Linked DNA regions of Elephas maximus indicus. The protein of the gene in region 2 purifies or fractionates together with the protein of the main gene of each other region. This does not show direct contact. Links are inferred from orthologs where the notes say so. Each region holds a gene or a part of one and is shown on either strand. Other genes may lie near its edges. The genes, in order: AURKA and PPP6R3.

What was found.
Region 1: the proteins of PPP6R3 (region 2) and AURKA purify together in Homo sapiens (affinity purification with mass spectrometry; 6 studies listed by BioGRID and IntAct, counting the BioPlex papers as one, with this or other methods). This does not show direct contact. The link is inferred for Elephas maximus indicus from reciprocal best matches to the Homo sapiens genes PPP6R3 and AURKA.

What each region holds. Positions count from the first base shown.
Region 1 is NC_064843.1:13,200,617-13,208,564, forward strand, and holds the start of AURKA (aurora kinase A), read left to right. Parts: upstream 1-4,948; 5' UTR 4,949-5,026; intron 5,027-5,089; exon of another isoform or gene 5,090-5,209; intron 5,210-5,473; exon of another isoform or gene 5,474-5,583; intron 5,584-7,353; exon of another isoform or gene 7,354-7,377; intron 7,378-7,948. Other genes in the region: CSTF1 (cleavage stimulation factor subunit 1), read right to left, coding at 1,619-1,787. UniProt on the Homo sapiens protein: Mitotic serine/threonine kinase that contributes to the regulation of cell cycle progression.
Region 2 is NC_064825.1:131,203,467-131,210,983, reverse strand, and holds the start of PPP6R3 (serine/threonine-protein phosphatase 6 regulatory subunit 3), read right to left. Parts: upstream 3,249-7,517; 5' UTR 3,130-3,248; intron 1-3,129.

The DNA.
Region 1 (7,948 bases), on a different chromosome or scaffold from region 2:
GTTTTCTATTTTTCTTAACAAAATGGATGAATATATTTTTAGTGAAAGGCATTTAGTAAATCTTAAAAAGAAAGCCAAGAAGCGGCCATGCCTTACTGGTATTAAAACATACAGCGTTCTTAATCTCTTGATGGTGCTATTGCAAAAACCTCCTAACTGGTCTCCTGACCTCCATGCTCAGACTTCTACAACCCACTCACCACATCATTCCTAAAATAATTTTTAAAATAAACTGGGTATACTCTCAAAAAAAAAGAAAAAAAAGAAGATGCCCCTGGACTGCCCAACCCCCTTCGATCATATTCTGTTTTGTGTATCACTGTGGACCTTTTTGTTTCCGTTTATGCAGACAAGACAGTTCTGTAGGGTATAAACCACAGCTTGTTTCACACTATAGATACTTCTCTGAAGTTTGCCTTCTTTAAAGTGATTTCTCTAAGCTGCAGATTCAGTCATTTTACTCTCTGCTAGAAACACATCCCCAGGTACAGTACGTATGTAGTCATGCCGCCCAGATTCCTGTTCTAGGAGGGATTGCTGCAGGGCACAACCTCGTCCACGGTGGTTACCTTCCCTGTGCAGTCCACATCCTAGGATGGGGTGAGGCCAGGTACACAGGCTTGGTTCTCTTGGCCTGACACAGACTCAGGGACAACATTCACTCTAGTGCCCTCCACTGGGGATGCTTTGTTGGGCCTGAGTTGCATTCGATTTATTCCTCTGCCCAATCCTGCGTGCTCCCTTTCCCTGCTTAGGTGCTGATCCCTATTAAACATCTCATACACAAACCCCACCTTGGCGTCTGCTTCCAGAGCTAGGCCTATAACACACTGCCTATCAGATACAGTTTCAACTCCAGCACAGTAACTGAGACAAGACTATGTATTCAGCCACTCTGTTCTATTGCGTTTTCTATAGCCAGGTGGGCGTTAGAATGCCATGTTGAACAGGACAAGGTCCTGACTGTTACTAACTTTAGCGAGGAGGAGGAGAGACGGCTTGTGCAGGAACAACCCAAACAATAAAGAACATTTCACACAGTGATTCCCTTATGAAGGAAAGAGCCAGGTTGGCTGTGGTGGAGTAACTGGGGAGTGTGGGGAAGATCATGGGATTACTTTAGAGGGTGAGGACAACTCTGAGGTGACACGTGAGCCAAGACCTGAAGGAAGTCAGTAATAACACATCAAAGTCCTTCAGGCCCTGAGGCTGGAAGTGGCTTAAAGTGTTCATGATCTGGACTTTGCTTACCCCATTGGTATCCAGCACTAAACCTGGCACGTTTAAAACAAAAACAAAACAAAAAAGAACCCGCTGCCGCCGAGTCGATTCTGACTCACAGCGACCCTCTAGGACAAAGCAGAACTGCCCCATAGGGTTTCCAAGGCTGTAATCTTTATGCAAACAAACTGCCACGTCTTTTTCCCTCAGAGTGGCTGGTGGGTTCGAACTGCTGACCTTTCAGTTAGCAGCTAAGTGCTTTAACTGCTGCGCCACCAGGGCTCCTTACCTGGTCCATAGTAGGCATTAAAACTCAACTATAATCATCTTAAAAACCTCTGATGCCTGAAAACACCCAAAACCTCGTCTCGGAGCTACGCATTCCCTGACAGGCTACCTAGTTTGATGAGATGCAGGAGCTGCTCTGAGGGGGCACACACGGACTGGGGCTTGATTTCGTTGATGAGGCCGTTGGCAATGCTGATGTAGCCATCATACAGCAGCTGGCTGATGATCAGCTTGTAGAGCTGCTGACGGTCCTTCAGGCCCACTTTGGTTCTGTACATCTTGGAGGCGAGGAAGACGGTTTCCCTGCCAGCTGCAAGAAGAGAACACGGGTGGGTGGGGAAGGGCAGAGGCATGAGGAAATCACCGGACGCAACACAGGTCTCTGGGGTCAGCCGTGTGGGGCTGAAATCCAGCTCTAGTGGCCGCATCATCTTTGGTCAGTGACTTCATTTCCCTGAGGCTCGGGTTCCCCAGCTGTTCAGTAAATCACTGAAGGTTAACAAGATGTGCACATAGGGCACTGAGCACAGAAGGCATTTGAGTCATGCCAGCTGAGATCGAGAGTAGCATTTCCCTTCAACTTACCCTCACCCTTTCCTTCTCTGACAAAACTGTTGTTGGGTGCCATCGAGTCAATTCCAACACAGTGACTCCATGTGACAGAGTAGATGTGTCCTATAGGGTTTCTTGGCTGTAATCTTTACAGGGGCACATTGCCAGGTCTTTCCTCCTGCAAAGCTGCTGGTGGGCTTGAACAGCCAACCTCTTGATTAGCAGCCAAGCACCTACAAGCTGCACCACCCGGGCTCATTCTGCCAAAACCACTTGCCTACAATTTTAATCCTTTATTGCTGTCCCAGGAACTTCCATTTCTTCTGTTAACAAAACACTGAGTGGTGTTGAAAATTGTGGACAGGTGCTACTTTCTCGAACGTCTAGGGACTACTGTTTCCACCAGCTGAGCTGTATGTTTACCAAAGTCAGTCATGCTTGTTCCTAAAATCTGTTTTACGGCAACCAATCTTGTTACTGAATTATATAATTACACAATAAATTAAAATATGAGGGCAAAAAGCTATTGTTTTAATGAAAACTAAAACAAGTTGAATGCTCTGGAAAGACAAAACATGAACCACTTAAAAAAAATATTGCCAACTAACATATGGGAAAAATGGGGGAGAGAAAAGAAAAAATCTGGAATGATTGTGCATTCAGATTGATTTCCAAGTGTCTAAGTGCTCCCAAAGTCTTAAAAGACCTGTAGTAGTCCTATTAAAGGAGCACTGGTGGCACAATGGTTTAGCGCTAGGCTGCTAACCAAAGGGTCGGTGGTTCCAACCTGTCAGTCACCAGAAAAGACCTGGTGATTGGATCCTGTAAAGATTACAGCCTAGGAAACTCTATGGGACAGTCCCACTCTGCCCTACAGGGTTGCTATGAGTTGGAATTGACTTGATGGCACAAAGTAACAGTGGACCTAATTAGATAAGACATTGATTATCAAAAATCACAGACCCAACGAACGTGTGGGCAGGTAATCAGAAGGCTGCAGATGCCTGGGAATAGCAATAAAAAAGAAAAGTTGTGGATTTGCAGCCTGAGAGAGAGAAACAGAGACAAGAAAAACCAGAGTGAACGGTAACATCAGGACCTCTTGGTGTTGTTATATTTACTTGGTATTGCTATATTCTGAAAAAGAAGATGTATGCAGGAAAGAGATGGAGAACCACCTGTTCTAACTACATAGCTTCCTCTGGAGAGTCACTGAGGTTACTGATCATAATAACAGCTAACACTAACTGAACGTTTACCATGTTTTATCTCATTTAATCCTCAAAAGCATCCTATAATGGAGGTTTTGTAATCGCCTTGTTTCCAGGTGAAGGAAAATAAGTTACTCAAGTTCTCACAAGTATTGCCTGGAGAAATCAGGGCTGGAACACTGGGGGTGTGTCTTTAGAGCCCGTGTTGTCCCTAAACACAACTTCGTAATGTTCCCTAAAAGCTTAACAACAATAATCCTGGCTAGTATTTATTTGATATTTGTCGTTCTTGTTAGTTGCCATTGAGTCGATTCCAACTATGGCAACTCCATGTGAGTACAATATGCAGGACACATTGTGTAAACAGCTTACATGCATCACCTCATTCACTCCACAGCTAGTCCTACTTAGAGATAAGCAACCTGAGGCCCAAACCAAAATGAAACCCATTGCTGTCAAATTGATTCTGACTCATAGCAACTAGAAGGACAGAGAACTGCCCCATAAGGTTTCCAAGGAGTGGCTGGTGGACTTGAACTGCCGACCGTCTAGTCAACAGCTGAGCTCTTCACCACTGTGCCACCAGGGCTCCAACCTGAGGCCCAGAGAGGTTAACTAACTCAGCCAGGGTCAAACAGCTTGCTAATGGCAGGGCCTGCGTGCTAACCCCACACTATACTGGTGGGTGTTAATAATAACAGGAACATTTACTGAGCATTCCTACATACTGGACACCGTCCTAAGCACTTCAAGAGTATGCAGAAGCAAATCTATGTACATCTATGCTTCTGTAGGCAATACTGAGACACAACGATGAAACGGGGCTCAGAGAGGTTAGGAAACCCACCAAAGTTAAGTGTGGCTGGTTAATCCACCCAGAGCTCAGAACTTAACTATTATTTTAACCCGTATCTTCAGTGTATCATGGGGTGCACAAAGAGCTCAACAAAAGAAAGCAGAGCGAGCTCCCGCTTCCCAACTCCCATTGTACGTTCACTAGCCGGGCTAGCAGGAGTCTACTTACTATCCCCCGTTTGCAGGTGGGGACACTGAGGCCCGGAGACACGAGGAATGCCGGAGTTGGGAGACCCGGGCGAGAACAAACTCTCCTTACTGTACGCGCCACAACCATCCCAAGGCAAAGGCGAACTAAGAACGGGGAGGGGACGGGCGCGACGTCCCCTTTTAGGAAGAGGAGGGGGTGTGCTGGCCCAGCCCGGCAACTCAGAAAACCGAGCTCAGGCTGCAGGCCTCTCCCCTCACTCTTGACCCTCCTGCCTCTCCTCAGTCCTGCCCGCGGGCCCTTGCAGGCCCCAACCGACCGCACAGCCACTCTCCCCGCATCCCGGAACCCCCTTACCCGCTGATCCGGCTCTCGCGGTCCCCGCTCTCTTTTAGAAAAATGGAGGCGCGAATGCTTCCCAATCGATCGCTCGGCGCGCACGTTCTCTGCGCAGGCGCACAAGGCGCCGCGCCGAGCGCTGCGCTATCGATCGGCCCCATTCTCTCGTCTGCCCTCCTCGCCATCTTACTTACTGGCACGTTCCAGAGGCTCGTTCACCTCCCCTGGATTTATTCCTTGTGCGGCAGCCCTGACGCAAGGGAACTGTTGTTTCCCAGAAAAATGCCCGATCCCGGACAGCACCGCGGGCACTAGGACGGCCCCAGGTCTGGCGGGCCGTTGCGCCACCACTTCCGGCACTTTACGGAGCGAGTGCGCCTGCGCGGATCTCAGCCTTGTCATGTGACTCGAGGTCCGGTCCTTTGTTAACCAATCAGAAGGCAGTCTCTCTTCAACGCAAGCCAATCAACTTTCGGGTTAGAGGGTTTAACTCGTATTTAAAAAGAGGAGGCTTTGCTTCCTAACGGCTAAGATCTTGGGCGGATTGGCGGCCACTGGTCGGAGGTGGCAGGTGACCAGTGTGTAGCGGGCAGGGGTGAGGCCTGGGACGAGGGGGGCTCGTCGAAGGCGGCCTCAGGGCGGGTGGCGGGGCTGGAGGCCGAGGGGCCCAGAGGAAGGTTCCGCGAGGGTCGCCCTCCCAGCCTGTCCACAGTGCCCACCTGGGCTCTTCAGGCGCGTTTCCTTCGGCGGGTGGGCACCGAGGCGCCTTGGAAATGCCGCGTGTTGTTTATTCCCGTAGAAGCGGATGGGGGTTGTTGAGTGGTGTTGCGGGTGCTTCTGATGGGATTCTCGTATTCAGTGAGCAGCTGGGTTAAGAAAAATACGGAGGGGTCTCTGCCGTCCTGGAGTTCACCTTCTGTCTGGGTTGAGGAGACAGACGACGAACTAACAAGATAACGTCCAACAGTGGTGGGTGTTCTGAACCAAGTGAAACAGTTACATGGTTTAACGGGGGTTACTTTAGATCTACTCGGCTGCTTAGGAAAGGTTGGCGGCCAAAGAAAGGTTGGCGGTTGGAACCCACCCAGCGGCCCTGCAGGAGAAAGGCCGGCAGTCTGGTTCTGTAAAGATTGCAGCCAAGAAAGCCCTTTGGGACAGTTCTACTCTGTCACATGGGGTTGCTATGAATTGGAATTGGCTAAATGGCACCCAACAACAGCTTTAGATAAAGGGTCCTGAGTGGCGCAAACCTTATGGAGCGGTTCTGCTCTGCTCACATGGGGTCACCATGGGTAGGAATTGACTGGAAGGCCGCTAACAACAACTTTAGGTAGAATAGCCTGGGAAGGGGCTTATCCTGGCTGGATGAGTGAATGGACAAAGAAATGAATGATAACCTTCTGCAGAGGCCTTCCCAGGCCAGCGTTTCTCAAACCTTGGACCACCTATATGAGATTACTGGGGCCCTTGTTAAAAATGTAAGAAGCCCTGGTGGCCCGGTGATTGAGAGCTCGGCTGCTAACTGAAAGCTTGGTGGTTCGAACCCACCAGCCACTCCACGGGAGAAAGATGTGGCAGTCTGCTTCCACAGAGATTACAGCCCAGGAAACCCTATGGGGCAGTTCTGCTCTGTCCTGTAAGGTCACTGGGAGTCTGAATCAACTCGATTGCAACAAGTTTGTTAAAAATGTAGACCCTTGCTGCATACCCAATGAATCAGAATCCCTTGGGAATAGGACCCAGGTGTGTCTACTTTCAGCAAGCTCTCCAGGTGATTCTGATGTTTCAGTGAGAACTAGTGGTCTATACCAGTGCATAGTATCATCTGGGGATGATGTTAACATTTACGATCTGATTTATTTAGTAGCCTGGGGTTGGCCCTGAGAGTCTCCATTTCTAACAAAAGTCAGGCAGTGCAGCTACTGCCCTTGACTTTCAATTCTGCCCCCTCCTTAATGTTCCTTTTTCCTTGACTTAAACACTTTTCAGCAGTGTACTCAGTTCCTTTCCACTCACTTTCATCTTTGTAGACATTCACAGGTCTCCTGTGCTGAGGGAGGAAAAAAATAAGTCCTGACCGTCAACCCAGAGTGCTGTTAAAGCTAACACTTTTCCTAGTTAGAATTGTAGGATCTCATGAAGGTCCTCTTGTCACTGCCTCCTGCATCTGGTTCTAGATCAGAATCACCCGAGGAGCAGTCTCCCTGGGCGAGTCCTCAGAATTTCTGAATCAGAATCTTATCCATTCTGCTTCTTCATCATTCATCTTCATGAGGAGAAAAAGAAAGAATAAATTGGAGCCAATGTCTGTAGCTTTTGTCAGAAGACTGTTGAGTAAATGTCCTGAGGCCTCTGTGATCTCCTTAGTCAGCTACTTGTGATTGTTAGGGAAACTGGAAGCCTCAGAGCATGTCTTAGAAATTAATGTTTGCATAATATAAACATATAAGTCCTGTTACTTTTTTTGTTTATTATTATTTTTTACTTAACCATTTTCTGTAAGAGCCTGGGCTTTTTAGGCCTCTTCATCATGAAGTTTGCATATTTATAAAATGAATATAAAGCTTTGGGATGTGCTTTCTGGTTGCATTATCATATTCACTGAGCAGCTGGGTAAGACAAATATGGAAACGTTTCTGCAGTCTCGATAGGTGATAGTGCCTGACTCACAGTGTGGGCTTACTGTGAACTTTTTGTTGATGTAGAGGCTGTCCCGGGGCTACAAACAGACCCATTCCTGACTGTGTCTTTAAGAATTTGCAGGTAGGTTGGAACAGGTGCATAGGGTTCTCATTTAGCTTTACTTTAGCGCAAGAAAAGACTTGGAGCCCTTTCGGTGAATTCAGAGCTGTGTGTGTGGCAAATGGAGGTGATCGTGATGAATTTGTTGCAGGTCAGGGGCTGGTTCAATTGTTTCACTAAATCTGTTGCTGTCCAGTCAGTTCCGACTCATAGTGACCCCATAGGATAGAGTAGAAGTGCCCCATAGGATTTCCAAGGAGCAGCTGGTGGATCTGAACTGCTGACCTTTTGGTCAGCAGCCTAGCTCTTAACCACTGTGCCACCAGGGCTCCTCATTTGTTTCAAAGCAAGGGCAAGTTTCCCCAACATTGAAGGATAAGTCTGAGTTATCCGTAAGGCGGACGTTGGTAACTGGGGACTTACTGTACTTTGTAAAAAAAACTCATTGAGTGATTTGATGCATACTGTGTGCCAGGTGCTGTTCTAGGTTCCGGGGGTGCAACAGTGAGCAAAGTAGGACTGAGCCCTTGCTGTCACAGAGCTTTCTTTCTAGTGGGGAGAGGTGCACAGTAAATACATATGTAACGTTCGT
Region 2 (7,517 bases):
TTTTCAGTATGTTCTCACCTAAAAAAAAAGTCCGTAACCCTACTCAGACCACGCTGGGCACTCAGAGACTGACTTACCGGGATAAGCCAGATTCTTGTGATTTTTATGAAATAAAGACAATGCAACTTTTAAATAAGCAAGCCAATGGTTAGGAGAGCTTCGTTATTGCTACCATTTACTCCTTAAGTGTAGTAAAACACTGTAAAATTTTAGACCAAAATATCAAAAACAAACACAGAAAAAAAAATTCCTGGTGTTAAGTCGATTCCGACTCATAGCGACCCTCTAGGACAGAGCAGAACTGCCCAGTGGGGAGTCCAAGGAACGGCTGGAGGATTTGAACTGCCAACCTTTTTGGTTAGCAGCCTGAGCTCTTAACCACTGTGCCACCAAGGCTCCAGACCAATATATAATACTGCCTCTCAAATACTGAAAACACAAAAGTGGAAGATACAGGTTTATCACAGAAGCCAAATACTGGTCCTGACAAATATTCTGCTTTATAAATAAAAAAGATGGTTTACTTGTAATAAGCACGTTACTGCTGCGCCAAACAGGCAAAAATGTGGCCTCCAACAAACCCCACCCTCCGACAAACCCCGCCCTCCAATAAACCCCACCCTACATCAAGTCTTAATTCTATTACTATTCATTTCCTGTCCAGCTATGGCCAATTCTCCATCAGCAAAATGAAACTAGGGAGTTTGAAGGTTTTTTGCTATACTTTACATAAAAGAAGTCAAAGCTTTCTAAACCCAAAAACAATCTTTTTCCTGTTCTTGAGTCCTGATACAGCAGCAAGTTGCTCATCTCTTCTAGGCACAGGAAAACACACTTCTCCAGCGCAGCCAAGCAAGCTGGATCCCAAGCAACCACCACCCAGGGAAGGCAAGCAGGGCTCTGGGCACCACACTGGAGAAGAACACAGGGCGTTAAGTAAGACTGTAAGGGTATGTGTGACTGGGTGGCTGACATCTTGTAAAACATCCTAGACTCCCTGATCAGACAGGGACAAAATAGCTTTCCAAGTATCCATTATCAAGGACTAGAATTATTTCCCAAACTATCCTCACTGAAGTATATCTCAATACCCAGTAACCTTTCAACATCTTAGCTGTGTTAATCCAAATCTCAGTTAACAACCTACGGGGTCCACTGAGAAACGCCTGAGTTACTTATTTGGCGCCGAATACTGACTCGCCAGTCACACTCGTAAATGGTATCCAGAAGCACAGGAGGAACAGAGTCCCACTCAAGCTCTTGACAGGCTCTTCTGTATTTAACCACCTGGTACAGAGAACATCCTGAGACAGGCCACCAATTGCTCTGGCAAAGTATGTAGCTGAATCTCCAACTACCCCTTCCCAGAAAAAATGACAATAACTTCCAGTTCACTTTCCCAGTTCCAACGAGCTCCTAATACACAGAGCTTTCTGAAGATGGTTACCAAGAGCCAGGGCTTAAGCACTCATCTGACTTCTTAAATCACTGCCATGGAACTGATTACAACTCACAGCGACCCTGTCTGACAGCAGAACTGCCCCACAGGGTTTCCAAGGCTGTGATCTTTATGGAAGCAGACTGTCAGATTTTTCTCCCTTGGAGTGGCTAGCGGATTAGAATTGCTGGCCTTTCAGTTCGCAGCCCAGCACTTAACCACTGTGCCATCAGGGCTCCTTCGACTTCCTAACAGTATCTAAATATTTAAAAATCAAATTTAAATTAATAATAGCCACAAATTACTGCGCTGATTCTATGTGCTAAGCACAGTTCTAAGTGCTTCATATGTATTAAATCATTTACGCCCAACAACCTTGTGAGGTAGACACTATTATTATTTCCATATTTCAAAGGAAACAGAGAGGTTGAGCAACTTGCCCAAGGTCACAGAGCAAGAAAGTGGTCAAGCACTGGAGTTAGAATCCAGACAGTCTAACTTCAGAGTGAAGAAAGCTCAACCACCACGGCTAACCGCGTATCACACACTTGCTACTGAGGGCACATTGCAAGGGCGGAAACCTGGAGTCCCTTTCCCACTTGTTGTCCATTTCCAACCTGACCTTGAGGACAAAATCAAAGTACCCGTCCCATTAATTAAATGGGATAATATCGACCTTAACAAGAGCTGCGAGGATGAGAGAAATCAACCACAAAGTGCCCCTCCCATAAACCCAACACAGAAACCACAGCTCGACCCGTCTACGGAGAAAACGTCCAGAACCGAGGAAATTCCATGAAGTTATGAAGCTAAGGAGTCAGGACGCAGAGGTCCACCCTTTAAAGGCTCGTTCTGTCCACTGCCTGTAATCAAAGCCAGCAGGACCCAGCTAGGAGGCACGACCTCCGAGTTAGCAAGGACCGGGGCTATAGGGTCGCTAGGAGTCGGACAGAGGGTCTGGTCTTTTTGGTTTGGGGCTTCTTTAAGAGGGAGGAACTCCCAGCCACAGGAGGACCATCCCCCAGGCTCGCACTCGCCCGGGAGGCGTTCGCGACCAGGTCTGCGTTCGAGTCACAGCAGCGGAGTCTGAGATCACCTGGAAAGGCGTCTAAATACCCCGAAGGGACCCGCGCGGCTCTCCCGACTCTGCGGCGAATTACCTGGAACCGACAAAACTTGTCTCCCGGGGAGCGGGGTCCAACAATGGCCTTCGCGCATCGCCCCCGAGCTGCTGCCGCTCCCGCGGCCCGACCGACAAGTTCCCAGGGAGCGGCGGCCGGGCCCGGGACTCCGGGGACCCCCAGGCCCCGCGCGGGACCCCGGGCGGCGCTCCGGGCGGCGGGACGCCTGGAGCCGGAGCCCCGAGAAGAGCGCGCCTCCGCTGGCCGCCTCGCCCGCCCGCCGCCGCCGCCGCCGCGCAGGCCGCGCCCGTCCGGGCGGGAGCAGAACTGCCCGCCGGGCTCGCCGCCCGCCCTCGGCCCGGCCCGACGGGGCCTCGGCGGGGAGCGCGGCCTGACAGGGCGGCCGAGGACGGCCGGAGGACTCGCCGCCTCCGGGCCGCGGGGCGAGCTTATTCCGGGGGGGAGGGGAAGAGGGACCGGACGCTCCTGCCCGCGCCCCGAGACCCGGCCGAGAGCCCCGCCGCGCGCCCCCTGCGCCGCGGCCCGCCCGCCGCCTCCCCCCGCGGTTACCTGGAGGTGCCCGCGACCTGCCGCAAGTCGCGCTCAGGCGGGAAACGCGCTCACCGACACCATCAGCGAAGCGCCCAAAATGGCGGACGTATCAAGCAGGCCTTGAGCTCCCCGCCCTCCCTCCGGCCGCCTCGCCGCCAATCGCCGCTCTGCCCCGCCCCCAGCTCAACGCGCATTGGCCTGCCTTCCCCGCCCCCTGCGGCCTATTGGGTGGGTCCTCAGCTCCGCGGCCTCCACTCCGATTGGCCTGTGGAAGGCATCAGTCAAGTGCGAAGGGCGCATTCTTTTCCCATGGACTTGACGGATCCGGAACCTCTAGAACCCTGGAGCCTGAGAAACAAATCAGAAACCAGGAGAAGCCTGGTGGAATCCCCCTGCGCCATAGCAACAGCAGGGACTCCGCCTGACGGACGTTGCTGACCACCAATCCGAGGAAACAATGCCTTTTAAAACTGAATGGAGCCAAACCAATCCTGGCCGCGGGCATCGGGCGGCAGGGGAGCCAATGGATGAACCCGATGTCCAGGGGCGGGGACGCGGCCACGGGGACGCGAATGATGACGTGAGCGCTATGTGCTTCCCGGCGACGGAAATGGGTCAGAGCTGGGGAATTAGCTCAAGTGGTAGAGCGCTCGCTTAGCATGTGAGAGGTAGCGGGATCGATGCCCGCATTCTCCACGCTGCATTTTGTAAAAAGGTGCCGTTGGCCATTCATCCGCGCCAAGGGGCAGTGCCGGGATTCGGGTCAAGGTGGAAAGCTGGCTTTCCCTCTCTCGCTGTGGCGCCCACCTCCGCGGGGGAAAGCAGGACTGATGGGGTGGCGTGTCCCTTTTGTCGTCGAGAAGGATTTACACTCGAGTGGCTCACAGAACCGCCGGGGCTCCTCCTCCCCGAGAGGCTTCCCGGCCACAGGACCCCCTTTCCTTCCGGTGAACCGGCCCGAGACACCCACGAGTCCCGGGCGCCCGCCGTCGGCGCTTCCTAACAACCTGCCTTGTCCCAGCGTGGACTGGAGGCGCCTTTCAGAGTCGCACGGAAATCAACAAGAGGGCAACAGTTAGAAACAGGAGATGAAAAGGACAAACAAGGTCCGCCGAGTGGAGTCGGATGCGAGGTCGCACCCCAAGGATGTGCTTGGGATGGGGACCTCAGCAGGCAGGCTGGCCTGTCCGTTCGTGCAGCAGCTCTGTACTGGGCGCTGCGGGTGTGCAAGGACTGTGGGGTACAGGGGCGCAGACGTCCTCGCGCCTCGGACACTCAGTCCGCAGCCAGAGAAACATCAGGGAAGCCGACCGGCTGGTGGCAGAGAGTGCTGGACGCCCTTCCGAGGAGGTGACATTTCCACCAAAGCCCGCAGGACAGGAGGGACAAGCCGTGGGCTCTTGGGTCGGGCGTGGCAGGGATTGAGACCCGCGCAGAGACCCCAAGGTGGGGCTTTGGAGTGCTCACGGTACAGAGGAAGCTGGGGGTGGCAGGAGAGGGACAGGACAGGAAGAGTGGCAGTGGTGAGCAATGGGGCAGGGTCACGGAGACCTCTTAGAACAGTGCCACAGGCCTGGGGGAACTCAACAGCCCCTGAGGCGCATTACTCAGAGGACTCCGGGCCTGGAACCACAGAGGGGGCTCCAGGCAGGGGGCTGGCAGGTCTCCCCCAGCCTCTGCCAGCAGCTGCTCCTGTAGTGCCAGCTTGGTCTTTCCAGGTCAAATAGGGTACCTGGGTGACTGAGACTTCCCCAGGCTGCCTCCAGGGGTAGAACTTGGCCACTGCAGGTGGGGGCGGGGGCAGGACCAGCCGAGTGGGTGCCACGCTGCGTCTTCCGCCTCCAACCTCCTTTGGTTCTGATCGCCTACCTACCTCTGGGCTCAGTATCTGTCTGCACCCCTGCCCTCGCTCCTTACACAGGCCCCAGCTGGCCTGAACTCGTCCAGCTCACTGAAGAGTCTGGTACTGCAGGGCGAATCTGGCCCAACTTGGCTTGTTGGGTCAGCTCCGGGGAACCGGGTCTCTGGAGCAAACATGGGCACACCTCCCCAGCTCAGCCCTTCGGCAGACCCTGTGGCTGGAGGCAAACTCTCCAGGAGGAGCTGGTTGCCGACAGCTCCAGAACAATGTCTTTGTTCCCGTTTTACAGATTAGTTAGCTGAGGCCTGGAGAGCATTTAGGAGTACCTGGTGGAGTCAAAATCGACCCCACCGCAAAGGGTTTCTTTTTTTGTTTTGTTTTGTTTTGTTTTTGTGCTTTAGATGATGGTTTACTGACCAAGTTAGTTTTTCATTAAACAATTAATACACATATTGTTCTGACATTGGTTGCTGACCCCACATGTCAACACTCCCCTTCTTGGCCTTGGCTTTCCCATTACCAGCTTTCCAAGCCCCTCCTGCTTTCTCATCCTTGCCCCTGGGTTGGTGTGCTCATTTAGTCTCCTTTCACTGTATGGGCCTGTCTAATCTTCAGCCGAAGGGTGAACCTCAGGGGTGACTTCAGTACTGAGTTAAATGGGTGTCTGGGGGCCATACTATTGGGGTTTCTCCAGTAAGTCTGATCTTTCTTTGTGAGTTAGAATTTTATTCTACATTTTTACCCAGGTCTGTTCAGGACCCTGTATTGTGATCCTTGTTGGTGGTGGTAGCCAGGCGCCATCTAGTTGTGCTGGACTCAGTCTGGTGGCAGGTTTGGGTTTTTCTTGTTTGTTTGGATGGTGCAAAGGAGCCCTGGTGATGTAGTAGTTAAAAGCTTAGCTGCCAACCAAAAGGTCAGCAGTTTGAACCCACCAGCTTCTCCTTGGAAACCACGTGGAACAGTTATAGTCTGCCCTACTGGGTCACTATGAGTTGGAATTGACTCAACGGCAACGGGCTTGGCTTGGGTAGTACAAAAGGAGCCCTGGTGATGCAGTGGCTAAAGCGCTCAGCTGTTAACCTAAAAGTTGGCAATTCGAACCCACCAGCAGCTCTGCAGGAGAATGATGTGGCAGTTCACTTCCATAACGATTTACAGCCTTGGAAACCCTATGGGCAGTTCTCCGTGTCCTTTAGGGTCTCTATGAGTGAGAATCGACTCAACAGCAGTGGGTTTGGTTTAGTTTTTTGTGTGGTACAAATGGTTAATCACTGGGCTACTGACAGGAAGGTTCGCTGTTTGAACGTACCCAGAGGCACCTCAGAATAAAGACCTGACAATCTGCTTCCGAAAGGTCACAGACTTGAAAACCCTGTGGAGTGCATTTCTACCGTGCAACACTCGGGGTCACCAGGAGTCAGAATTGAATGGACAGCAACTGGTTTGGTTTTTTTAGGAAGCATTTGGGCACCAAGTGCTACCCAAGTGGCTGGGTGATCTAACTTCTCTGACTTTATGGTTTTTATGTGTAAAGTGCAGGTGGTAACATCAACCAGCCTGTGCCCAAGCCCTGAGGGTGCTGGGCCTCTAGGGAGGCAGAAACCAAGGGCAGATGTTGCTCACACTGACTCTGCTGCTCACTGAGGCTAGTGAGGGACACAGTCAAGAAGGAAACAGATTCAGAAGGTGTGCTCAGTGCAGGGGAGGGCTAGGGACGGTGTGTCACAGATAACCCGGGGCGGGGTGGAGCAGTGTGGGAAATGCACTTTTTTGGAGGACAGGGCTGGGGATGGCAGCGGGGTTGGGGCTGGGAGAGGGGTTGGGGATGAGAATAAGAATAGGAATCAGGTCGGGAACCAGCCAGGGAGTCCTTGGAGGACAGGGGAGGAAATTTGGGGTTTATGCTCAGACGGGAAGCCAGAGAAAGCTTCAGAGCAGGAGAGGGACCTGTTCAGGGCTGCCCATACTTCAGGAAGGTCAGGTTGGAGCAAGAGTAACAGGGGGTGGCACAGGAGTCCAGGCCAGAGGGCCTGGTCCAGGGAGCACAAGAGGGGCTCCAGGGAACCCTAGGGCACCTAAGGGAAGCTGGGCAGGGGGCAGGAGGGACAGCTCAGTTGGCGTCTGACATCTGCCCTGCCCTCCTGGGGGGCCTGGGGAGGTCCCAGCCACCACTGATTTACCCACATCGATTTACTCACTCAGGGAGTCCCTGGGTGGTGCGAACGGTTAAGTGCTGGACTATTAACCAACAGGTTGGAGGTTCAAACCCACCCAAAGGGGCCTCGGCAGTAAGGCCTGGCAGTGTGCTTCCAGAAGGTGACAGCCTTGGAAACCCTTCAGAACCCCGCCGCTCTGCACACATGATGTCGCCACAAGTCAGAATCGATGGCGACTCACAGCGTTGACTCGTCATCATCAAAGCATCAGCCAGTACCTGCTTCAGCTCCTCCGTCCCGGACCCTGAGATGGGTTCTGGGCTGTCTGCATGGCGAGTAAGACAAGGCAGTACCTGGCCCAAGATAAGAGTGTTCCAAGCACCTCCGGT